3 linked regions of the Caenorhabditis elegans genome follow. The protein of the gene in region 1 purifies or fractionates together with the protein of each later gene. This does not show direct contact. Each region holds a gene or a part of one and is shown on either strand. Other genes may lie near its edges. The genes, in order: smap-1, tbca-1 and asp-3.

Region 1 (8,512 bases):
TTTCAGATGGCAAATACGTTCCACGTGCAGTCCTCGTTGATCTCGAGCCAGGAACGATGGATTCTGTGCGGTCCGGTCCTTTCGGACAACTCTTCAGACCAGACAACTTTGTTTTCGGACAATCTGGAGCTGGAAACAATTGGGCCAAGGGACATTACACCGAGGGAGCAGAACTTGTTGACAACGTGCTCGATGTGATCCGCAAAGAGGCTGAAGGATGCGATTGTCTTCAAGGATTCCAGCTCACACACTCTCTTGGAGGTGGAACCGGATCCGGAATGGGAACCCTTCTCATCTCCAAGATTCGCGAGGAATTCCCAGATCGAATTATGTCTTCCTTCTCGGTTGTTCCATCACCAAAGGTTTCGGATACCGTCGTCGAGCCGTACAATGCCACCCTCTCTGTCCACCAGCTTGTTGAGAACACCGACGAGACTTACTGTATCGATAACGAGGCTCTCTACGATATCTGCTACAGAACTCTAAAGCTCACCAACCCAACATACGGAGACCTGAACCATCTCGTGTCTCTCACAATGTCTGGAGTGACTACCTGCCTCCGCTTCCCTGGACAGCTGAACGCTGATCTTCGCAAGTTGGCTGTCAACATGGTTCCATTCCCACGTCTTCATTTCTTCATGCCTGGATTCGCTCCACTCTCCGCCAAGGGAGCTCAGGCTTACCGTGCATTGACTGTCGCCGAGCTTACTCAACAAATGTTCGACGCCAAGAACATGATGGCTGCTTGCGATCCAAGACACGGAAGATACCTCACCGTTGCTGCTATGTTCCGTGGACGCATGTCCATGAGAGTAAGTTCATCGATTGCTTGTAACTTTTCACTATATGCTTTGTTTTTCAGGAGGTTGACGAGCAGATGCTCAGTGTCCAGAACAAGAACTCCTCGTACTTCGTTGAATGGATTCCAAACAACGTCAAGACTGCTGTGTGCGACATCCCACCACGTGGACTCAAGATGGCTGCCACCTTCGTCGGAAACTCCACTGCTATCCAGGAGCTCTTCAAGCGTATCTCGGAGCAATTCACCGCCATGTTCCGCAGAAAGGCCTTCCTTCATTGGTACACTGGTGAGGGTATGGACGAGATGGAGTTCACCGAGGCTGAAAGCAACATGAACGACTTGATCTCGGAGTACCAACAATACCAGGAAGCTACCGCCGAAGACGAGCCACTCGACGAGTTCGCCGGAGAAGGGGAGACATACGAGTCTGAGCAATAATCTGTGTATCAATCACTAAATTATCCTGCCCCGTTTCGTAATTTCCTGTACAATGATCTTTTCTTTCGCCCACTCCCAATATTTTTATGACTCGAATGAACGATGATTAATTTAAACTTTTTTCCAGTGTTCTCATTATGTTTCAATCATTAAAATATCTTGCAAAAGCTCGATAGAAGGTAGACACTGGTTCACAATTTTCATATTCAGAACAATGAAAGACACAGTCGTCAAAGGATCTCTCAAGTTGAAAAAAGTATCGACAGAAGCGCCAAAGAAGACTAAAAAGAGTAAGCCAGCTATGGACTTGAAGCAAGTTGACATGACGATCAGAAGGTATGTGTAATCCGAAACCAGACAGCTAACGGTCCCAGAGATTCCAGAAACACTTCCGGCGGTGGGCCACACAAAACCGAGGCTGAGCTTCGGTTCGAGGCTAGAAGACAGGCGAACATGGTAGGCGCTTTTTTTTTTAATACTTAAAATTCACATAATTTCAGGCGGAAAGAATGCTGAAACAGGCGGCGTTGAGTCATCGTGAAAAGGTGGAGAAGTTGAACAAGCAGCTCGGCGAGATGACAGAATTCAACGACATTCCAAAAGTTTCCTGGACGAAATAATAATAATAATCTCTCTCTCTCTCTCTCTCTCTCTCTCTCTCTGTACTTTACTTGAATCATTTGTGCATAACTGTCAATAAATCTTTTTTGGTTTTTTTGCTCCAAAATGTATATTTTCCTTGATTAATTCGTGAATTTTCGTAGCTTGAAAATCCTGTACTTCTAATAAAATGCCATGGCCACGTCATTATAATTCTCCAATAATTCCCACTTTGCGTCAAATTCGGCGTATTCACAGACAAAGAGTGTCTGCGTCTCTCCGTCTCTCGCCTCTGTCCTCACACACGCCCTCATTTGCGCGAGAGCCTGACACCGGCTCCGTGAAGCTGGAGCCGACTTCATTGATTATTCGGGTTACTGGCCTCACACACACGTTCTTCTCAAATTTCAGTGGAACTCGAGGAAGCTCAGAATTTATCATTTTTTCATATTATCTCCTCTTTTGTGCATTTCCCAATTTCCCACGCGTCATCGTCGTCGAATATTGATTGAGTTGCCCTTTTCTCTCTTATCATTTTCAACATCACGTTTCCGCATTTTCATTTCCATCGAGTTCAAGGTTTTTCAGTTTCAGAAGCACAAATGCTGCGAGGTAAAGTGGATCCGAAGAAGGAAGAGCAGGAAAGACTGCAAGGCTTCCTGTTGGACATGCTCAAGGAAGAGGAGAACAAGTATTGTGCCGATTGTCAGGCGAAAACGCCAAGGTGAGAATTTGAGACGAAAATCTGGAAATTCGCGAATTTAATATAGTATATTTCGGCTTAAAATCGTTATTGCAGTAAATTTACAGGTTTGCCGGAATAATTCTTTCGAAAACTGAAAAAAGTCAAAAATTATTTTTCCGCTTGGTTACAGTTTTTAGACTTTTTTTGTCAATGCAAAACCTTCGCGGATTTATTGGTCCAAGGAATTATTCCGATAAATCCACAAATTTCAAAATTTACCCCAAAAACCGTGCCAGGATTGCAAAAATTGCAGAAATAACAACAAAAAATCAATATTTATTTCAGATGGGCTGCCTGGAACCTCGGCGTCTTCATCTGCATCCGATGCGCCGGCATCCACCGTAACCTCGGCGTTCACATCTCAAAAGTGCGCTCAGTGAATCTGGACTCGTGGACGCCCGAACAAGTGCAGACGATGCGGGTGATGGGCAACGAGAAGGCCCGACAAGTCTACGAACATGATCTACCAGCGCAATTTCGGCGGCCCACCAATGATCAGCAAATGGAACAATTCATTCGGAGCAAGTATGAACAGAAACGGTATATTCTGCGAGATTTCGTGTATCCAAGAGTTGACGCGAGCCAGCTGCCGAAATCATTGTCTCAGGCACAGAAGAAGGTCGGAACGCCCGTTGTGAACATTGCATCACGTGGAAGTAGCTCTAGCAATGGACATTCGACGGCTTCAGCTGCTGCTGCTGCTCCATCGCTTCTAGATTTTTCTGATCCTCCAGCCAGCACAACTCCTGCTAAGAAGGCCGTCAACTTATTCGACGACTTTGATGGATTAAGTCTAGGACCAGCGGCTCCGGCAGCAGCTCCAGCTGCTCTCAACGATGATTTCGACGATTTCGGATCATTTGTCTCGGCGAACTCACAAAATGCTCAACAGAATGCTCAATCTCTTGGAGGAGGATTCGCCGATTTCTCATCGGCTCCAACGACAGCAGCTGCAGCGCCTTCAGCTTCTTCTGGCCTCGATGGTATTGAATTTTCACCTGGTCTTTGTCGCAAAAAAAGATAATCAAAAAATTGAGGAAAAATGTATGAAAATTGAACCAAATTTCAATTCCTAATTTTTATCCAAAAAAAAAGTCATTTTTCGGGACCTTGGAAAATCGAACAAGCGGGAACCAAAATTCATTTGTTTTTCACTTTTGTAAATAATTTTTTTAAATGATTTTTCCTTTTCAGATCTCACCGCTCTCTCCTCAACGGCTCCAGCGACAAATGGAAGTGATCAAAAGAAAACCAACGCAGATATTCTTTCGCTTTTCGGCCCATCTGGTGGCATATCGGCTCCGAATGTAGTTGCTCCCGGAGGATTTGCCGGATTTGGACTGCAAGCTGCTCCGGCTCAAATCCCGCAACAAGCTTCTTCGTTCCACCAATTCGGGGCTCCAGCTCCAGCTCCACAACAAAATGATATGTTTGGAGGACTGTCGGGTATCAATTTTGGAGCACCACCACCATCGGCTCAAATGTCTCAAATCCCACCAATGGCTCCACCACAATACTTTGGAGCTGCTCAATTTGGAGCAATGTCTTCCAGTGGATTCGGTGGAATGAGTATGCAGTCTAAACCAACGCCTACTTCACCAACTGGATCACAAGGATTCAATATTCCGAATAAATCGAATGCTTTCGCTGATTTGGCACTTGGAAAGGTACAATTTTGGCACTTTTGAGCGTTAAAATTCTAGATATATTGAAGAAAAAAACTAGAAATTTAGCAAAAAATTCAAAATTAAAATTTTTTTCCAAACAAAATACCCGTTTTTCGATAACTCTCGCTTTATGCTTTTTTTTCAAGCAAAATACCTTATTTTTCAGAAAAAATTGTCTGATTTTCGTTGAAAAATAAACGAGTATAATCAAGAAAAAATCATATCATTTTTTACCAATTTTTGCATGAATTATTAACTAGAAAGTTCCGGAAAAAACATCCAAAAGCACAATTAATTTGGATTTTTGTTTCAAATTTCCTAGGTTTTTGTACCGAAAAGAATTCACATTTTTTATTGAATAATTTCACAATTTTTTTTGGAAAAAAACCAGCAATTTGATGCAATTTTTTGAAAAAAAAAGTAAAGTTTTGAAAAAAATTTCGATCATTAAACTAAAAAAAGTCGAACCTGATTCGATATTTCTTGAAAAAAAAAATTAACCTATTATAATTTTTTTTTCCAGGTAATGAAGACAAACTACGGACAAAGTGCAATTCATCACCAAGCGGCACCAATTTCCTCTAATAGAGCGTCACCGATGCCGGCACAATCCAACACTGCCGCCAACAATGATCTTTTCGATATGTTCGCCTCGGCACCGCCACCGGTTACAGTCAATTCGTCTTCGTCTGGACTTGACGACCTCCTTGGACTCTGAAAAACTAGTTTTCCACCTAAAAAATGCATAATTTGACCTGTGATTTTATTTTTCTTTTCTCCCTCTCTAAACACTTTCTTTCCTAGGAAACTGCGCTTCTTTTTGTGATTTTTTTCTAGTAAATTATTATTCTCATCAACATTTCCCCCCGATAAAGTTCGGTTGTGTGAGCCCCAGAAATTCCAGTCCCTTCAGCATATCCGAAATGTGTATTAGGAATACTACAACTTTTTTTTCAGATTTCTATAGCCCCTCTCTTTTTCTTTCTCCTTCAACGTACTAATTCATGCTTAAACTGATTTTTAATGTGTTTTTTTTTCTGTCGAATGAAATTTATCGAGATTCCTAATCTTGAACTAAAATTTCGACTGAAAATGACTTTTGTCGACCCCCGGCGAAATAGTACGAGAAACGAGTAGCACGCAGACATGTTCGTCCTGATTCCGGTGGGAAATATCACACGAATCGTGGAGACGCAGCAGAAAAGCCGAATGAGGCGGAATGCGCGGGAGGGAATTGGGCTGAAGAAGACGAAGAAGATGAAAGGAAACCACAATTATCGTTCTTCGGTTTGAACATTTCGATTATTTTTGTTTTTCCTTTTTTTCTCTTCCGTTAGTTTTCTCGATTTTTCTGGAGATTCGGTTTAATCCGGTTTTTTTTTGCGAAAATTTAATTCCAAAATGTGCCAACTGTAAAGGCGCACATCTTCTACCCTTGCATGGGTTCTGCAACGATCAAAGTCAGTTTGAGAGAAGTGAGCATGTGCCTTTAAAAATTACTGTAATTTCAAACTTTCCTGCGAAGTTTCTCTCGAGTTTTGTTAAAATTTAAGTGTTTTATTGCTATATTTAATTTTAAAAAAAGCGAATGTTAATTTCTTCGAAAATTTTTTTTAAACAATTGATGAAAATTTATGCTCCACAGCAACAAAAGTTTGATATATAGTACTATTTAAAGGCGCATACCTTTTCAAAATTAAAAAATTTTTGCCGTGTCGAGACCCAAAACCAGGCTTCGTATTTGTTACTCAAAAATCGAAACATTTCGTGGGTTAAAAAATACTTTTAAGGGTTTTTGAGACAATTTAACTCCCGATATTTCAAGAAATATTCCATTTCTTCTCCATTTTCAAATTTTCAAAGAAATACACGTAATAAGTGGGCGGAGTCTAGCACAACGGAGTGTCGTTTACAACAAAAAACAACTGAACAATTCATAATTCTCGACCCCCACGGGAGGGCATAATTCGTATGCAAACTGGTTCTCTGGTCGCTTGGAGAAGGTTTTTTTTTCAAAAAAAAAAAATAAAGTTCGACGGTATATGCTGTGTGCAGTAATGTATGATTCATGTATGATGCATTTTTATATTGAACTCTCCACATTTTTCTAAATGTAATTTTTTATTCTCATTGTTATATACATACGACTTATTGTATTGGAAAAAGTCACTTTTATAAAAAAACATATTTATAACAATTTTTGGAATTTTTCACATAAAAAAATGTTCGAAAAGTTTTTATTTTATGGGCGCCCGTTGGGTCTCGATACGATCATTTTTGTATCTAACTGAAAAATTTTAATATTAAAGGCACATGGCGCCTTGCCAAAGTTGGGTACCCGCCACAAATCTGGGTGATTTTTTTTGTAAATTTAATTTTTGAAAGAACTTTTTTTCATTAAAAATATTTCAATCATGGGTCCCACCACGATTCTCGTCACTTCAAAATAAAACCTACGATATTCGTGGCGAGACCCATAATGTATGGATTTCCCAGATGTATAATAACTCTGAATATCCTTCAAAATCCCAACCTAATACAATTCCCAAAATAAAAAAGAAGCAACGTCCTTTTACAAATGTCGAGGTCAACATTCCAATTGAGAATTACTTCATTGAAGTACTCCGGACATATTTTCTACCGGATTCTTGATTTGTACAAAAAAAATCTGGAAAATTCGTATTTTCTTTTTAAAAAAGTTCTTGGAATTTTTTCCGATTTTTTCAAAATCGGAAACTGGCTTAAAATTGATACTGAAGTATGACTGTTTTTTCAATTGTTTCAAATATACTGAAATTAAAAAAAAAAAAAATCTGAAAAATTGTTTATTTTAAGACTGAAATATCGATTTTCAAAAATTGTATCCGTATTTGAATATCCTCCAAAATGAGAACAACACAACCAATCAGCGATTTGCGCCGCCCACTTTTCAACCAATCAGATGGAGTGGGCGGAGTTCTAGGACCCTGATTGGTTTGAATGTAGGCAGGGCTTCTCATTTTTGAGGTAATTCAGAAACGGGAAATTAGCAAAAATTAAAAAATCTTATTTTTCTCGAATTTTAATACTCTGGCAATATTCAAAAAATTAAATTATTTTTAAAATTTTTAATTGATACTTTGAACTCTTCTAGAACCCCAAATATTTTTCGGCCACAAAAATCACAAACTACGACTCAATATCTCATGTGTGTCCCTTTAAAAAGTAAACTCAAAACGGCCTGTAAATAGAAGAGTTCTTCTGGGCTCAACAAAGTTTATTTTAGAAAGACTAAAACGTGTAAATACACATTGTGAGTTACAAAAGTGTTCACTCTATTTGCCATTCTTTTCCTATTTTTCTCAACAAAAAAAGTTTGGCAGACTACGAACCAGGTGACCGTGGAGACTACAAGTTTTTTGAGGTTTTTTTTCGGAACATAACTGATTGCACCTCATGGGGACCGAACATTTTCTGATGTTTAGAAATTGTGGTTTATTTTTGGAGTTTTGAAAATCAAAGTTTAGGAACATTTTTTGAAAAATTGAAATTATTGCTTTTTTTTAGAAAAAAGCTTGAATTGTAACTTGAAATATTTGAATTTTTTTCAATTTTCATTTAAAAAAACAAATTGTTTCAGACAAGAGTACCGAAAATAACACTATTTGATGTTTTTTTAATGCAAAAAAAGTTCAAAAAAATATCCGAAAATTCAATTTTTTCAAAAAAAAATCTATAAAATTTATAAAAAAATTAATTTACCAGTTTCAGTGAATTTGCCCAAAGGAGAAATGTGCCTTCAAACACTGTTTGTGGCCTAGAAAAAGCTTCACAAAAAAAATGAAAAAAAAAATCAAATTTTTCGGAATTTGCCACATTTTCGATTTTTGAAAATATTACACTCAAAATAAAAAACTGTGTGGCGTGTACCAGGGGTGTGCGGCAAATTTGCCGATTTGCCGAAAATTGCCGACTTGCCGAATTCGGCAAATTTAAAGAAACCAGCAATTGCCGATTTGCCGAGCACGGCAAGTTTCAAAAAAGTAGATTTGCCGAATTTGCCGAGCTCGGCAAATTTCGAAATTTGCCGCACACGTCAAAAATTTTACAGTACAATTTTGACTAAAATTATTGATTTTTTCGCCAAAAATTTAGTAAAATGACACAAAATTGAGTTAGTTTTATGCTTAAGCAGACAAACTACACGGAACTAATTCAGAAACCAGATGTGTGTTAAGAATTCGGTAGTTTTGGTGTTCCAAAAAACATCAAAAATTATCA
Region 2 (7,467 bases), on another chromosome or scaffold:
TTGGAAAGAAATGGCCAAGTATTCGGCTGGGCCTTCTGTCTCCGAATCGATATTTAGCAGTTATGAATACAATGAGCAGGTTCGGAAATCTGAAATTCCCGTGGAAATTGCCAAAAATTTTAATTTATGATTTTCTTATGTCAATTTTTAAGAATATTTTGATTTTATTTGCTAAATATTGCTCAAAATTTGTCCTGAAATTTGAAATTCCCGTTGAACTTCTCGAAAAATTCAAATTTATACCAAATTCTCTGCGAGACCCAGCTGTCAAAGTGTATGTACCTTTAAACTTGTGTCGATTTACGCAAGGATGATTTTTTGATTTTTTAAGGAAAATATGCTTTTATTTCAAATGTTTCTCAAAATTTTAACCGAAAACCTTACAGAAACTGGCAAGCTCACGATGAAATTCTCTCTGACATGGGCGCCAAGGATTTGCTTGCCTCAATTCGTGGAAAAGCCGAGGACCAAGCGATTGAGACAAAACGGAAAAGCGTTGAGGAAAAAGCGAATCGGGAGACTCAAAAGGTTAAGCATGAGATTTCAGTAAGTTTCCTACTGATCTTGCTGCTTAAAAATCGAATTATAATTTCAGAATCCCTCAACTTCGACCAATACTGAAGATTCTGAGCCGGATGAAGCGATTTTTCGATCTGCTGCAGGGCTCGGCGAGTTCCGGGCGAGCGCTGGAGAGCTCTCGTCTGGAAGTCTGCAGATGGGATTAGGACAATCTAATCAAAATAAAAATGTAGAAATCACCGGATTTGAAGGAGAAGGCGTTCGAATCCCGAAAAGAGATCACTTTTTCTATTATCCACAGGCCCTCCACGTCCGCTCATTCGATAGAGCTGTCCTTCTAGACTTCCCGGCTCCGATGAAAGATGAAGTCGGAGTTCCGAGTTACTGGCTTCTAGACGGTGGCTCACTGCTCCCAGTTTTGGCTTTGGGCCTTCAAAAAGACGATTCCCTGTTGGATATGTGTGCGGCTCCCGGTGGAAAAAGTCTTCTAGCGGCTCTGTCGAATTTGCCTTCGAAAATCGTTTGTAATGATTTCAAATTGGCCAGGCTTGGGCAGCTGAAGCGTGCGCTTATGACATATGTGCCAGAGGATAGCGAGGTGCAATATCAGTTTTTGTAAAAAAAACAAAAAAGTCAAATTTTTCTGAAAAAAAAATTGATTTTTTGACAAATTTGGAGAAATTGCCGATTTTTTTCGCAAAAAAATTCTTTAAAATTCGGAATTTTTTTAAAATTTAAAATCCGAAAATTCACCAAAAAATGGCTCAAAAATTTCCAAAATTTTCGAATATTTGCTTAAATTACTAGAATTTTCTCGAAATTTCACTTAACTTTTTTCCATAGTTTGAAATCTTCTTTAAAAAAACCAACATTTGAAATTTTCACTCGATTTTCTAGAATTTACTTGAAAAAATGACGATTTTCGTTAAAAACACCTGAAAATTCATTCAGAAATGTGAATTTTTCTCAAGATTTAAATTTCGAATTTTTCCAATTTAAACACCTCAAAAATTGGGTTTTCAGTGAGAAAATTGAATTAAATACGAATTATTTCAACTTTTTTCTGCTCTTTTGAGGAAAATCAGAAAATAAAACAATTTTTTGAAATTAGAGTTTTTTTTTTCGATTAAAAAATGTCGAAAATTCTTTTTTTTAAATATAAATCCCTCCAAAATTAGCTAAAACTCCAAAAATTTTCCTGCAGACAATCGACAAATTCGTCCTAAAACGCAAGGACGCGTCCGACGTCAAAACTTGGGATGAATTCGAGGCCTACGATAAAGTGCTCGTCGATGTTCCGTGCTCGACGGATCGTCTATCAGTCAGCACCGACGACGGAAACCTTTTCAGCACAGGATCCACTCAGCAGAGGCTTGATCTTCCGGTTCTTCAGACCAAGATTCTTGTGTAAGGATCCTCGGCTTTCCCTCAAATTATTTTTCCTTTCAGAAATGCACTGCGATCTGTAAAAGTTGGTGGCTCGGTTGTCTACTCGACGTGCACACTCTCACCAAGCCAAAACGAGGTTTTCGCTCGAACCTGGTCTTGGCACGACAAATTTTTTTGTTAAATAGGAAAATATATGCGCCTTTAAGGAGTACTGTAGTTCCAAATTTTTTGTTGCATCGATTTTTGAAAAACTCCTTGAAAAATGATGACAAATATAGTTTTTTCTCGATTTGTAAAAAATTCGAAAATTGATGAAAAATCGATGAAAATTTTACAAAAAACGTGAAAAACTCAATTTTTCAAAACAATATTCGGCTATTTTCCAATTTTAGTTTAAAAAAAATCGCATTCTGCATTTTTTTTTGCGCTCCCTGCCGTGTTTGCGTATTTTCACCGCTACAGTACCCCGAAATGCTCAAATTTTGCTCTGATAGTTTCACAAAAGTTTAAAATGTGAAGAAATCGTTTCTTTTAACACTATAAATCTCGAATTTTCACTAAACAGTTGAGAAAATCAAATCAAAATTTCAAATTTTGACGATTTCCGTTTAAAAATTTGATTCTGGCTTCAACTCTCGCCCGATCCCAACATTTTCCCTCAAAAAAAATCCCGAAATTCTGCATGCATTTTTTCGTAGGATCCGGTGATTGCGTACTTTCGCGGCTACAGTACTTCTGGCGTGTCGAGACCGGGGTTTTTTGTCGAAATAACAGCTCAAAAATGCTAATTCAAATTTCTTCAGGCAGTCGTCGAGAACGCTGTAGCCGTCGTACGCAATGACTTTGGAATCGTGACCGTCGAGGAATCCCTACATCAACTCGTATCCCATATGACGTCATCAGGCCTCTATCGTTTCCATGACACTCCACTGGGAGCCCTCGTCGTGCCGTTTCTACCCTCTAACTTTGGACCAATGTATATTTGCAAACTGACCAGATTGCAATAGATTTTTAATATTTGATGAATTTTTTTAAATTTCTAGATTTTGCTATTTTTTGTTTGTTTTTTTTAAATCTGAATTTTTAAATTTATGTCTTGTTTTAAAATTTTATTATTTATGCAGTACCCCCATGGGTGCATCTGCCGTTCCATCAGTACCTAATTTCAAATTCATAGAATTTTTCATTGATCCTTCTTGTTCGTTCTCTATGTATGTATTGCGAAATCATTTGAACAGTCGATTTTTTGGCGGGAACCTGTGTCGCCCAACAGACAGCGGTCAATTTGTATTTATTTCGAAATCGCCGAGCGTGTCTGACCATCTGCTCGCTTTCCCGTCCTTTTTCGGCTCATTGAGCACAACATTTTCGGTGGTATTGCGCCTTTTTCTATCGATTTTTAGTCCATAAAAGCAAGCTCACAATCTCGTTCTCTGTTTCAAAAATTCACATTGCAGAACCTCCCGCCGCCATGTCGACCCAAGCCGATCAGCTGAAAGCGCTCCGAATCAAGACGGGAACCGTGCAACGTCTCGTCAAAGAAGTCGCCTATTACGAGAAGCAAGTTGTGAAGGAGGAGCAGAAGGCTGCCCAACTCGCCGCCGACGCCACCAACGAGGACGAGGAGTATGTTGCCAAGAAGTCGAAGGATATTGTTAAGGTTTTTTGAAATAATCCGATTTACGAGTATACGAAATTAAAATATTTTCAGGAAACTGCCAACATGGTCCGCGATTCTCAATCACGTCTCCAAAAAGCTGTGGCCGACCTCCGTGAATCGATTGCTTCTGGGAATTATCCGGAGGAAGCCGCAGAATTCGTCAATGCGAAGACGCTTGTGGACTCCATTTCTGCTTAATTTATGATACTCTTTTGTTATTTTGGGATTTTCGGTGATTTATGATGAATAATTATTGCATTTTACTTGAATACATGGTTTATAATGCCGTATAAATAATTTTAAGAAGCAATTTCGCTAATATTTCCATACGAAAAATATACAGATGTCCGTTAATTCAACGATTTTTGCCTGGTTCGCGCTAAAAAGCAAAACATAAAATTCGAGCTCGTAAATCGACACACGAAATCGCATCGAGACCCTTCCAACCACTCCCATGCGCCTTTAACCCATTTCTAATTTTATCCAATTTTAGCCTGTTTTCTATGCAATCTTTATGGATTTTCAATTAATTTTGAGTAATTTCGATTAATTATAATGATAATTTTTTAAAGATCAATAATCGACTCAACTGGGATCATAAAAACAAAAAATATGGCTTCTGGTAAGTGTTAGCTTTTCGGTTTCAAGAAAATTTCATAATTCTTTCTTAATTTAGAAGCTGAAAAGGACAAGTGCCAGAGCTGGCTTGCGAAACAAGATTTGGACAAAGTCGGAGTCGATAATTTGAACCCACTCACCGAGGAGGTACTGAAAATCAATAATTTTTGAGTTAAAGAGTTATTTTTCAGGTTATCTCTCGACAAGCCACGATTAATATCGGAACTATTGGCCACGTAGCCCATGGAAAATCCACTCTGGTGAAAGCGTTCTCCGGTGTGCATACTGTCAAGTTCAAAAGAGAGTTGGAAAGAAATATTACTATCAAACTTGGATACGCTAATGCAAAGATCTACAGATGTTCTAACCAAGAGTGCCCAAGGCCAGGATGTTACAGGTTATAATATCTCCCTGAAATTTAATTTAAATAAATAATTTTTGAATTCTAATTCAGATCCGCCGGTTCATCAACACCCGATCGGTTCCCATGCGAGCGCGCCGGATGCGGTGGAGAATTCACCTGTGTTCGCCACGTCTCATTCGTCGATTGCCCAGGTCACGACATTCTTATGGCCACCATGTTGAACGGAGCCGCTGTCATGGACGCCGCGTTCTTGCTCGTCGCCGGAAACGAACCATGCCCACAGCCACAAACATCTGAACATCTCGCCGCCGTCGAGATTATGCAGCTGAATCATTTGATGATTCTTCAGAACAAGGTCGATATTATCAAGGAGTCGCAAGCCCGCGAAAATTACGAGCAAATCGCCGGATTTGTGCAAGGAACGGTCGCCGAGAATGCTCCAGTCATCCCGATTTCTGCGCAGCTTAAATATAATGTTGATGTAAGGATCTGAATCTGGATTTAAATATACCACGCTCTCCTCAAGTGTTCATAATTATTAGAGCGCGCTCGCGCGGCACCACACGAACTCCAGAATTCGCGGGAATTCGTTTCGCGGGGACAGCAGTTTTTGGCTATATTCGGCTTCTATGGAAATTATTTTTAATTTTTTTGATTTATAATATTGTTGAGAAGCACCATCCGAATTGAAAATGTGTAAAATTATGAAATCTGACCGAAAACTGAAGTTTTTACAGAGAGGAGTCACCACGGCTTTCTTTAAAATGTATCAGTACCGTCAGTTTTTCGAATTCAGAGTCGTAAAATATGTCATTTTGTAAGTCTGTTTCACGAAAATCCATGTTTGAAATTTTAATTTTTTAATTTCTAATATAAAAATATTCAAAAAATCAACAATTTTACGTTAGAATCTAATTTTTTCAAATTTTCAGTTTTTCATAAGAACAATTTTAAAATTTCAAACATGGATTTTTGTGAAACAGACTTTTCTCTACAAAATAACATATTCTACGACTCTGAAATCGAAAAACTGACTGTACTGATACATTTTAAAGAAAGCCGTGGTGACTCCTCTCTGTAAAACCTTCAGTTTTCGGTCAGATTTCATAATTTTACACATTTTCAATTCGGATGGTGCTTCTCAACAATATTATTAAACAAAAAATTAAAAATAATTTCCATAGAAGCCAAAAACAGCCGCCTAAAACTGCTGTCCCCGCGAATTCTGGAGTTCGTGAGGGGCCGCGCGAGCGCGCTCTAATAATTATGAACGCTTGAGGAGAGCGTGTATACTAGATTAATTGCGATTTTTCAGCTCGTTTGCGAGTATCTTTGCAAGAAAATCCCCGTGCCAGTCCGTGACTTCAAGTCGCCGGCTCGTCTCATCATTATCCGATCATTCGATGTTAACAAGCCAGGATCTGAAGTTGAAAACTTGAAGGGAGGAGTCGCCGGAGGAACATTGACCAAGGGAATTCTGCGCGTCGGACAAGAAATCGAAGTTCGCCCGGGAATCGTCTCAAAAACCGCGACCGGTCAACTCCAATGCCGTCCGATCTTCTCCCGTATCGACTCTCTGTTTGCCGAAAAGAACCAGCTGGAATACGCCGTTCCCGGCGGTCTCATCGGTGTTGGAACGAAGATCGACCCGACACTCTGCCGTGGAGATCGACTCGTCGGTCACATCCTCGGAGCCGTTGGCACTCTTCCAGATATCTTCATCGAAATTGAAATCTCCTTCTATCTTCTGAGAAGATTGCTCGGAGTTCGTACTGAAGGAAAGAAGAAGGGAGCCAAGGTGCAGAAGCTTGTCAAGGAAGAGACTTTGCTGGTGAACATTGGATCGTTGTCAACGGGAGGAAGAGTTACTGCTGTGAAGGGAGACGCCGCGAAGATCAGATTAAACGATCCTATTTGCACAGAGGTAATTCCCACTTTTTATAAAATAATAAATTTAATTTGTATTTAAATTCAGGTTGGAGAGAAGATTGCCATGTCACGTCGTTTCGAGAAGAGTTGGCGCCTGATTGGCTGGGGAACCATTCGCAAAGGTCAAACCGTTGAGCCGTACAAGAACTAGCGGCTATCATCGATTTGTTGTCTACACCGGTTTTGACATATTATTAATCTTTTCCAATTGTTTCTCTCCGTTTTTGTCTCTCTATTAGTCCAAAAAATTTTGTCGGATCCCTGTTTTGGTTCTTTTTTCTGTCCTCCTCCTGTTTCCTACTATTCCACTTCCAGTTTCATTGATTATTTTTCTTTTTGTTGAAAGTGTGCTTGGTGTTTTTTCGATAAATTATTGGATTTGAGTAAAATCTGGAAATACATTTTATAATTGCAGCAAAGATTCAGGTTTTGAAAAACAAAACGAAAAGTGCAGGCTACAGTAACCCACCTTAAAGGGAGGTTTCATTCCTTGCGCAGATGGTCTCGCCGCGATGAGACTTTTGTAGAATGTTTACGGTGTTGTAGGCCGCTAGAAAATTTTCGAATTTCATCTGAATTTCTCTTTATTTTCTCCAATTTTCTCAAATTTTTGTTCGAAAATCTGAATAAAATGTATAAAACTTTTATTTTAACGCCTCGATCGGATAAAACATACACTCTAAATGATAAATTTCAGCGATGCCGGCCCCGAAATTCATCGAAGGTCCGAACACTGTTCAAACGTCACTTTACGGCTATGACAGGAGCAAGAAAGTGCAGGTAATACTCTGAATTGTGCGATTTTTTCCACCCACTAAAACATAACCTAGTTCCAGCTGAACAATTTACGCGGGAAACCAATTATGGTGCTCCGTTCTGATACGGTCATTCCAAAAAACGAAGAAGCACCTCCACCACGAAGCACCTTCGCCAAGAAGTGGGTCGATCGCAGTCGTCATATTCCGACAATTCCACTATGTAGGCGACA
Region 3 (8,512 bases), on another chromosome or scaffold:
AATTTAATAATCAAAACAGCTCCAGCTGACACTTTTCTAGACACAAGAGGTTGGGGAAAAGGCGTTGTGACTATCAATCAGTACAACATTGGACGATATTGGGCTTCTATTGGACCACAGGTGCCCAATTTACTGTTTTTAATATATTTTTCAAAAGTTAATTTTCAGCAAACTCTTTATATTCCATCGGAATTCCTTCACAAAGGGGAAAATCTCATCATGTTTTACGAATTTGAAGGCGCCACAACAGCCTGTACAGCAACTGCTTGTACAGCAAAATTCACAAATATCCCGGTGTTTGATTATTGAGATCGTTTATTGAATACTTATAAATGTAATTTAATAGTCTAGTTGTCTTCATCAGAACTCTCCGTATCCTGTTCATCACTTTCATTACTCAGAGGGTTTCTGTACAAATGCAAAGAACTTCCACACTGTTTTGCCGCTTCTGCAACAGTTTGTTTTCCAACCGGGACATGATCAACTGAAGGGAGAAGCTCAATTGTATCCTCTGAACAAACATAATTAATCAAAGATAATATTAAAAACCAAAGTACCTTTATCATTAAGTCTACTCGCACTTTTGCTAAATCTCGCAATACTAGTGCTTGGAGCTCTACTTCTTGATTGTAAATAAGAATGAATTCCAGAAGGCGCAGTGGAGTTCGTGTCTGGTCCCATGCTCAGAAGTTGCCTTTGAAGTGATAGTTCGCGGAGCTTCTTCTGATTGTCACGAATGCTAATGAATTCGCCCAATGTTTCACTGTAAATTAGCTATGTACAAACATGTACAATAACTGAAGTTAAAATGTAAAATATACCCAGACGTTTTGTCGTCTCTCCATTTCTGCCCTTCTCTTGACCCAAAAAAAATGAGCACGAGTGCAAAAACAAAAAGAATTGAAACACCAAGAATTATGGCAAATAAGACGATGCTAAAACCATGTTCTGAGTATCCATATAGTTCACGTGGGGGTTGTTCAGGTTTTTCGTTCAAATTCTGAAATGTAAAGACATTTTTTCTGAAATTTTTTTTTGAAAATTTCTGAAATTAAATTCTAAAATTTGAAGAAAACATTAATCACATGCCCGGTCCGCTTCTTTCAGGTTATGGTTACTTGCCGCAATACTTTCGTTTGCTATTTGCCAGCTCACCCCGATAACCGCACGCGATTATTGTGGCTATGTAAAATTTCAAGGCCAAATGCATATTTTATGCTTAACTGTCAAACTTTGCTAATCCGTCCATTTCCATCTCGCTACTACTTTATTCGAGCCGTTCAATTGGTTTGTTAAGCTATTCTTCAGTGTAAAATGTTGAATAAACTAATAATCAAATGAAAACTAAGTTACGGTCGCTTCAAAGCTGTGCATTTCTCAAAACATGTAGAGTTTTGTTTAAAAGTTACCTGATCTGGATTCGCTTTTGTCAGTTTCTCTTCTTGTTCATCCTTTATCAATTCATCAATACCTTCTCCTTCAAGAGATGAAATATTTCTCTGAATTAATATTTAAACATTTTAGAATGTTGACAAATTTAATTATTTTGTTCTTACTACCGCAACATTACACCAGTCCACCGGAAATGTTGGTGCAAAATACTTATTCATCACGACAGATGAGGGATTTGAACAAAACTCGGGCATAGTTTGTAAATTGTGTACAATTGACATGGTTCCGGGATAGAACTTTTGCTGTGTACCAACATACACCATTGTTCTGAATTTTTCAAAAACTGAATTGAATTAAAACATTTTTTTACCCGAAACTATTTTTGAAAATGTGCTCCTTGCCACGTGGAATAATGTATCTGGAGCGAACACCTGCAATATATGGGTTTACATTTCTTCCCCGGAATGTGTTTCGCAATGAGTTTTCTAGTTGACCTGAACAATATTATGATGATGATGACAAAAGTGTGTTTTTTATTACTCACTTATTTTTCTGTCTCGATTTGAAACTAAATCCTCTACATCTAGTCCATTTATTGGCAGTTCAAAAACTTGTTGCGTATTTCCTTGATACAATGCTGCAAAATTACAGTTTACTGTTTCTTTTTTTTAATGTTCTAAACTATAAACTAACAGTCTTCCACCAAATTAATCACCACCATTCTTTGCTGTATATCAAAATTATCCAGTCGTTTCGCAATCACGTGTAGTGTAACATGCTGCACATTTGTGACCGGTGTGCCTGAAACATACATAACTACGATAAAAATCATAAGATGATTTTATTTTTATGAATGTACTGGTGTGTTAATAACTAATCGATCACCTATTAGATAAGCGATTTCCGGGTGTCGCGACGGTAAGAGACGTAACCAGTTTGGAAGAGCCGGCTTTTTGTTTAGCGTAGCTTCCCATTTCACTTTAACTGAAAATAAAAGAGCAATTGATAAAAACGATCAATAGTTTGCACCTGTGCTCGGGAAAAAGTGTGCAGAATGGAGAGTGTGGACAAAAAACTTTCCCTTGGTTGCAGTCACGTGAGTAGGAGCTTTGAATGATTTCGACGTTCGAAATAGCAACAAAATGGAGAATATCGAAAAATCGAGTAAACGAATTTTCATTTTAAGTGAAGATTTTGTGTGAAAGAGATGTGTGGAACGAGATCCTTTACAACGGCTGCTCGCTGAGCCGTCCGCACAAACTTTTGCTTTTTACACAGCTCAACTGGGTTGGCGGTTTGAGGGAAGCTGCCAACAAGACCCGCCGGGGAAATCATTGTTGACGATATTTTAGAGCATGATGAACTTGATGAGATAAACTGATGTGGTGGGGTTGATTGATGTCGTCTCAATAATGTTTTTAAGATAAAAATAATGAATATATACATTAAAAACGATACTTGAAAGAAAACGTGATATGAATGTCTTTATTTGGAATTTTGGTTTCAGGAGAGTCTCTCTTTCAGAAATTCAGAAAAGGGGTGAACAATTTTTAATCTAAAAGGTAAAAAGTTGTTAAAGAAAGAGTAAATATTAAGAAAATTGTAAATTTTTCAAAGTTAGACTTTTTAAAATCATTAAAAAAAACTAGAGCTAGGTAAAACTTCAATTTTGTTTAATTAGCCTTGACACAGCGGCTGGGAAATAATTTATCATTCTACAAAAAGTTTTTTCATTTTCGTCATTTATACACTTTTTTTTGTTGAAAAAACTAGAATTCAGAGTTTGTCAAAGGTTGGGTATTGGCCGTTGTGAAAATGAAATTTAAATTGTGGTTTAAAGGTTTAAGACTATAGTGAAACTTTTCAAACGACTTTTTAAATTTTTTGTGCAGTCGAAAATTCAAGAAAACTTAGTTTTCACCTATCATAATTCTGGAAGTGGCTGGAAAACAATATAATTTCCAAAATTTCAACTTAAAAGTATATATATCTAAAAGTTTTTGAAGTATGTATATTTATATTATGATTATTGGTCATGCACGACTAATATAAGTGTTTTTAAGCCAACAAAAAATATTGTTAAAAAACTTTCGGCCAATTTATAGTAACACATGTTTTACTACTTAAAACTTCAATACTTGGTTCAATGAAACAAATTTATAAAAATTACTTCAGGTTCTAAAATTATTAGTAATTGTATACACACCTGCTCCACCACTGCAACAGTTCTCAATTTATTTCATCTAGTCCAATGTCCAAATTCTGATTTCGTATTCCCTATCTACTTCGTAACGAAAATTGTGAGACAATTTGACGATAATGATAATGATTTCATATTTTGTGAAAATAAGCCGATTAAATTTTTAACGTGTGGAACTTTCTAGAACTAATTTTAAAGTGTAGTCATATTTTAATAGGGGAGAACAAATCTGAATTGTAGGCCATTGAAATTGTTATTTTGATCAGAATGACGATGAGGGTGTGACGACGACAAAGCAGTGTTGACTTGTTGCTGAAAGTACATATGATTTTGCTGGAAAAAGTTTAATGTGTTCTTTTGGCAAACAGAACGCTATAAAATCCGGATCCTTGTCAGCAAGTCATTTTGTCAACCCGGACACTTTTTAATGGTTTTCCCTCATTTTACACACAAAGTACACTACTTTAATAGCCGATCTAAACTTTTGACTCGGTGAGAGGAAATAATTCCGTTTTCAGCCAGCCAACCTCCTCTACTAATTATCACTAAAATCGGTTGTGACGTTTACAATTATATCATCAAGAGTTTGTGTCGCATATAAAAGAAACCCGGAGCGCTGCTTCTCAATTAGTGATAACGCACCATGTCGGGCCGCGTTTTCCTTCTTCTGGCTCTTGTCGCCTTGGCTTCTGCCATCCAGAGGTTAGTTACATTTTTAATATACCATTCATATATTTAAATTATTTTATTTTATTTATTTATCATGTTTCTTCTTTTTTTAGAATCAAGCTCGAGAAGCGCACTTACACTCGTGAACAATACAAGTTCGGATCAATCCAAGAGCATCTTAAGGCCAAGTACGTCCCAGGATACATTCCAAACAAGGATGCATTCAACGAGGGTCTTTCTGATTACTCCAATGCTCAATACTATGGACCAGTGACCATTGGAACTCCACCACAAAACTTCCAAGTTTTGTTCGATACTGGATCCTCCAACTTGTGGGTGCCATGCGCCAACTGCCCATTCGGAGATATTGCCTGCAGAATGCACAACAGAGTTAGTTTTGAAGTATTCAAATCAACTTTTTTTCAATAAAATAATTTTCAGTTTGATTGCAAGAAGTCTTCTTCCTGCACTGCTACTGGAGCCTCTTTCGAGATCCAATACGGAACTGGATCCATGAAGGGAACCGTTGACAACGATGTTGTCTGCGTAAGTCAATCTTATGATGTTATTTACAATATAGCTGAAAAATATATTTATAGTTCGGACATGATACCACCTACTGTACTGATAAGAACCAAGGATTGGCCTGTGCTACTTCTGAGCCAGGAATCACCTTCGTCGCTGCCAAGTTTGACGGTATCTTCGGAATGGGATGGGACACTATCTCTGTTAACAAGATCTCTCAGCCAATGGACCAAATCTTCGCCAACTCCGCCATCTGCAAGAATCAACTATTCGCTTTCTGGCTTAGCCGTGACGCCAACGACATCACCAACGGAGGAGAAATTACCCTTTGCGACACCGATCCGAACCACTACGTCGGAAACATCGCTTGGGAGCCACTCGTCTCTGAGGACTACTGGAGAATCAAGCTCGCTTCGGTTGTCATCGATGGAACCACCTACACCAGCGGACCAATCGACTCGATTGTTGACACTGGAACTTCCCTTCTCACTGGACCAACTGATGTCATCAAGAAGATCCAACACAAGATCGGAGGAATCCCACTCTTCAATGGAGAGTACGAAGTTGAGTGCAGCAAGATTCCATCTCTTCCAAACATCACCTTCAACCTCGGAGGACAAAACTTCGATCTTCAAGGAAAGGACTACATCCTTCAAATGTCCAACGGAAACGGAGGATCCACCTGCCTCTCTGGATTCATGGGAATGGATATTCCAGCCCCAGCCGGACCACTCTGGATTCTCGGAGACGTCTTCATCGGACGCTTCTACTCGGTCTTCGATCATGGAAACAAGAGAGTTGGATTTGCCACCTCTAGAACCGGAAAATAAGCCTATTTCTAATTTAAAAACTCAATTTCTATGCCATTACTTGCTTGATTGTAATAAATGTGGTTATGTGATGATAAGAAGTTCTAAAACAGTTCTTTCTATACGTTTGCAAGAATTCTAAAAACCCTGACTGGCTTCTTGATAACAAAGTTTACATTGGGTGGGAGGAAAACACAATTTTATGAGTTTTATTTTATGCTGTACTCAAAGAAAACAAAAAATCCAAAGCTTTCGCGAAACATGTGGTTCTCACTTTTTCATGACGCAAGAAATTTTCGTACTTTTCTCACTTGTTCCAGCATGATTCAAATGCTTTGATACACTCCATTTCCACATGTTTTAAATCTCACTAGTGAACACTTTCCGTAGAATCCTCCAAGAGAATAGTGGCACATTTGTGCTACAAACAATCTGTTAGAAATTTGTTTATATTTTTGACATTCTTCCTTCTATTCCTTCTATTCCTGCTAGCCGATCCTCCTCCCCTCAACTTAGAAGAGACATTTGAGATGTTCGATTAGATTTTATTGAAATATACACTTGTGCACGCAAAAACCGCGCGATTATTGTGCAATACCATGTCGTGTTTGTAAAGGAAGACCGCACACAATGCATGTTTCCGGTGACTCGGAAAATATACGTGAATTTATGCTTTGCGTAAATAGAAGTTACGAAACTTCTTTCTTCCGTTTTTTCTCTACTTGAAAGTCTGAATTTTTGTTTTAGACTAAATTCAAAATTTGTTTTGAGAAATTTTTTTTAATTGAGGGAACTTTCCCTGGATATTTTTCTAACGCTATGCAAAGCATTGCAATGTGCTAATTTTTAAAGTACAACTATTCTAAAAACTTTAAAATGTTTTATTTACTGTCAAAAACTTATTATAATATTGTCAGTCGACAAGCTACAAGAAATTGTAGTTTATCATCATGGTATTATATTAATTTAAACTATAATATTCAGAATTCAGACCTAATCGGGCTGTAGACTTTTATTTTTTACGTGTTTTTCAAATTTTAATTATCCTTTTTTTTTCAAAAAATGGCGACCTAATAAAAATGATATTAGCCTGCCGTTAACTGAAAAACTTATAAATTACATTTTTGCCATAAAATATAATCTGAATTATAACAAGAATGTTATTCTGATCAAAATTATTGAATTTTTCATAAAACGGTTCAAATGTACAAAAAGATTAGTTTCCTAATTTTTGATTTTTTTTCCTTTTTTGGGCAAAAAACTTATTTTAAAAAACAACATTTCGCGTTTTTTCCAAATAGTTTTAAAAAATTGTATTCAGCCCCACTGACGATATTCTAACTTTGAAAAACTTTGGATACCAATAAATAGGCAACCCATAACTAAAAAAAAGTGTGTTTCTCATTTTTATTTATTTTTCTGAAATATTCCAGATTTCATTTACCCGCTGGTACTTTCTCATAGCCAATATAGTATTCCATCATTTTATTTATTGTTTGATATCACATTTCCACTGACCACCTCTCCATTCACTGTGAAACAAGACCTTGAAAATATTTTCCCACATTGGGTGGGGTAAAATGCATACACCATCTAAACCTATTGTTCGAAAACGCTTCACCTGGGAAGGTTATTCTTTTAGTGAAAATTGTGATTTTGAGCGATATGATGCATGAATAGGTGGCTGATAATAAAATTAATCAATCAATCGTCTTTCATCTTACTCTGATCTCTTTGCTGGTCGCGATGTGATAGAATAAAAAACAGTTCATAATTCTTTTTTGGTTTTTGATGTGGACTTCCAGTTCTCTATCTTCGATCACATGCTTAGTTGGTCATCGGCGGACTGGCATCATCAAGAGAGCTTCATAAATCTTTTGGAAATTATCATAGGCGGTTTCGCCAAAAAGGGGCAAAACGCTTAGTATGTGCGATCAGAAATGGGAATGTAGGAGGATGAAGAGGAGCAGGTGATTTGCGTGCGCATCCGATGGCCTCTTTTCCTGCATCCTTCTGTCATCTATCATATGGAGACTCATTTCAATTACCGCTTCTTATTCGATCTGTCCCGTCGCCACTCTTCTTGCTCGCTTTTTCGTCGTCCTAAATACACTCTTTTTCCCAATTCCCATCACATTATTCAGCACATCACAGTTCCCTCAACCCCACTAGCCCATTCCTCAACGACACTTTTCCTTTTTCTGTCGCTCTTTTTTTTCCCGGACATAACTTACTCTCATAACGCGCTCGTACAATTTGTTGAGTTGGAATTGCAAGGCGGAAAAGTTACAGCAGCAATGCTGAAATAAGAAAAAAGCACCTACAATTTTACGAAGCGGCTGCTTTTCTTTTTTCTTTTTTTCCCCTCCACACATACACCAACATAACAATCAAGAATTTAGTATTAGTATTATGTGGTATCAGTGTTGTTCTCTTCCTTTGTTTAATTCAAAACCTGTCACGGCTGTCTGTAATATCGAGAACTGTAATTAAAACTATGCGTTCTTGAATTGCATTTTTCCCAATACTGTCAGTTATTGGCGCCAGATTTTCAAAAGAGTTTCCATGATAAAATTCAGTTGTTTCATGGTTCAATTGTTCATTTAATTTTGTTCAATTCAATCTACTACCGTTTTCCCTCTATTAGCATTTCATCCCAATTTTCAAACTTGTCAATTGTCAATTATTCTACTCAAAAACTGTTAACAGAATAAACAAAAGGTTTTTGTTTTCTAGTGTTTGTAATTCAAAATTAATAGGTAGAACCTTTCAAAATAAAACAATTGGATAGAGAAAATACGTAAAGTTGAACCGAAACTCATAATTTAAAATTTCATCAGCGATTTGTTGTTTTTGAAACATAAACACATTTTGAGCCATTCAGTCATACGAACTTTGAACCTACTTACAGATTTCT

What was found.
Region 2: the proteins of smap-1 (region 1) and tbca-1 fractionate together in Caenorhabditis elegans (co-fractionation; one large-scale study listed by BioGRID). This does not show direct contact.
Region 3: the proteins of smap-1 (region 1) and asp-3 fractionate together in Caenorhabditis elegans (co-fractionation; one large-scale study listed by BioGRID). This does not show direct contact.

The regions. Positions count from the first base shown.
Region 1 is NC_003281.10:10,733,709-10,742,220, reverse strand, and holds smap-1 (Arf-GAP domain-containing protein), read left to right. Parts: upstream 1-2,428; 5' UTR 2,429-2,442; coding exon 2,443-2,564; intron 2,565-2,870; coding exon 2,871-3,568; intron 3,569-3,779; coding exon 3,780-4,252; intron 4,253-4,775; coding exon 4,776-4,970; 3' UTR 4,971-5,328; downstream 5,329-8,512. Other genes in the region: tbb-1 (Tubulin beta chain), read left to right, coding at 7-812, 863-1,240; tass-1 (Protein FAM32A), read left to right, coding at 1,455-1,576, 1,615-1,696, 1,741-1,860.
Region 2 is NC_003279.8:2,309,131-2,316,597, forward strand, and holds tbca-1 (Tubulin-specific chaperone A), read left to right. Parts: upstream 1-3,365; 5' UTR 3,366-3,379; coding exon 3,380-3,568; intron 3,569-3,619; coding exon 3,620-3,766; 3' UTR 3,767-3,827; downstream 3,828-7,467. Other genes in the region: 5-cytosine rRNA methyltransferase nsun-4, read left to right, coding at 1-79, 387-546, 596-1,117, 1,724-1,926, 1,969-2,044, 2,712-2,915; eif-2gamma (protein-synthesizing GTPase), read left to right, coding at 4,181-4,190, 4,245-4,333, 4,378-4,583, 4,641-5,031, 5,866-6,474, 6,526-6,630; ekl-7 (PEHE domain-containing protein), read left to right, coding at 7,179-7,259, 7,310-7,457.
Region 3 is NC_003284.9:6,786,956-6,795,467, forward strand, and holds asp-3 (Aspartic protease 3), read left to right. Parts: upstream 1-4,108; 5' UTR 4,109-4,235; coding exon 4,236-4,294; intron 4,295-4,374; coding exon 4,375-4,651; intron 4,652-4,702; coding exon 4,703-4,807; intron 4,808-4,860; coding exon 4,861-5,616; 3' UTR 5,617-5,754; downstream 5,755-8,512. Other genes in the region: bgal-2 (Glycoside hydrolase 35 catalytic domain-containing protein), read left to right, coding at 1-120, 169-309; sgca-1 (Dystroglycan-type cadherin-like domain-containing protein), read right to left, coding at 348-511, 558-763, 822-1,000, 1,410-1,499, 1,557-1,719, 1,763-1,886, 1,937-2,029, 2,086-2,193 and 2 more. UniProt on the Caenorhabditis elegans protein: Aspartic protease. Part of the necrosis cell death pathway. Involved in neuronal cell degeneration. Involved in heat stress response.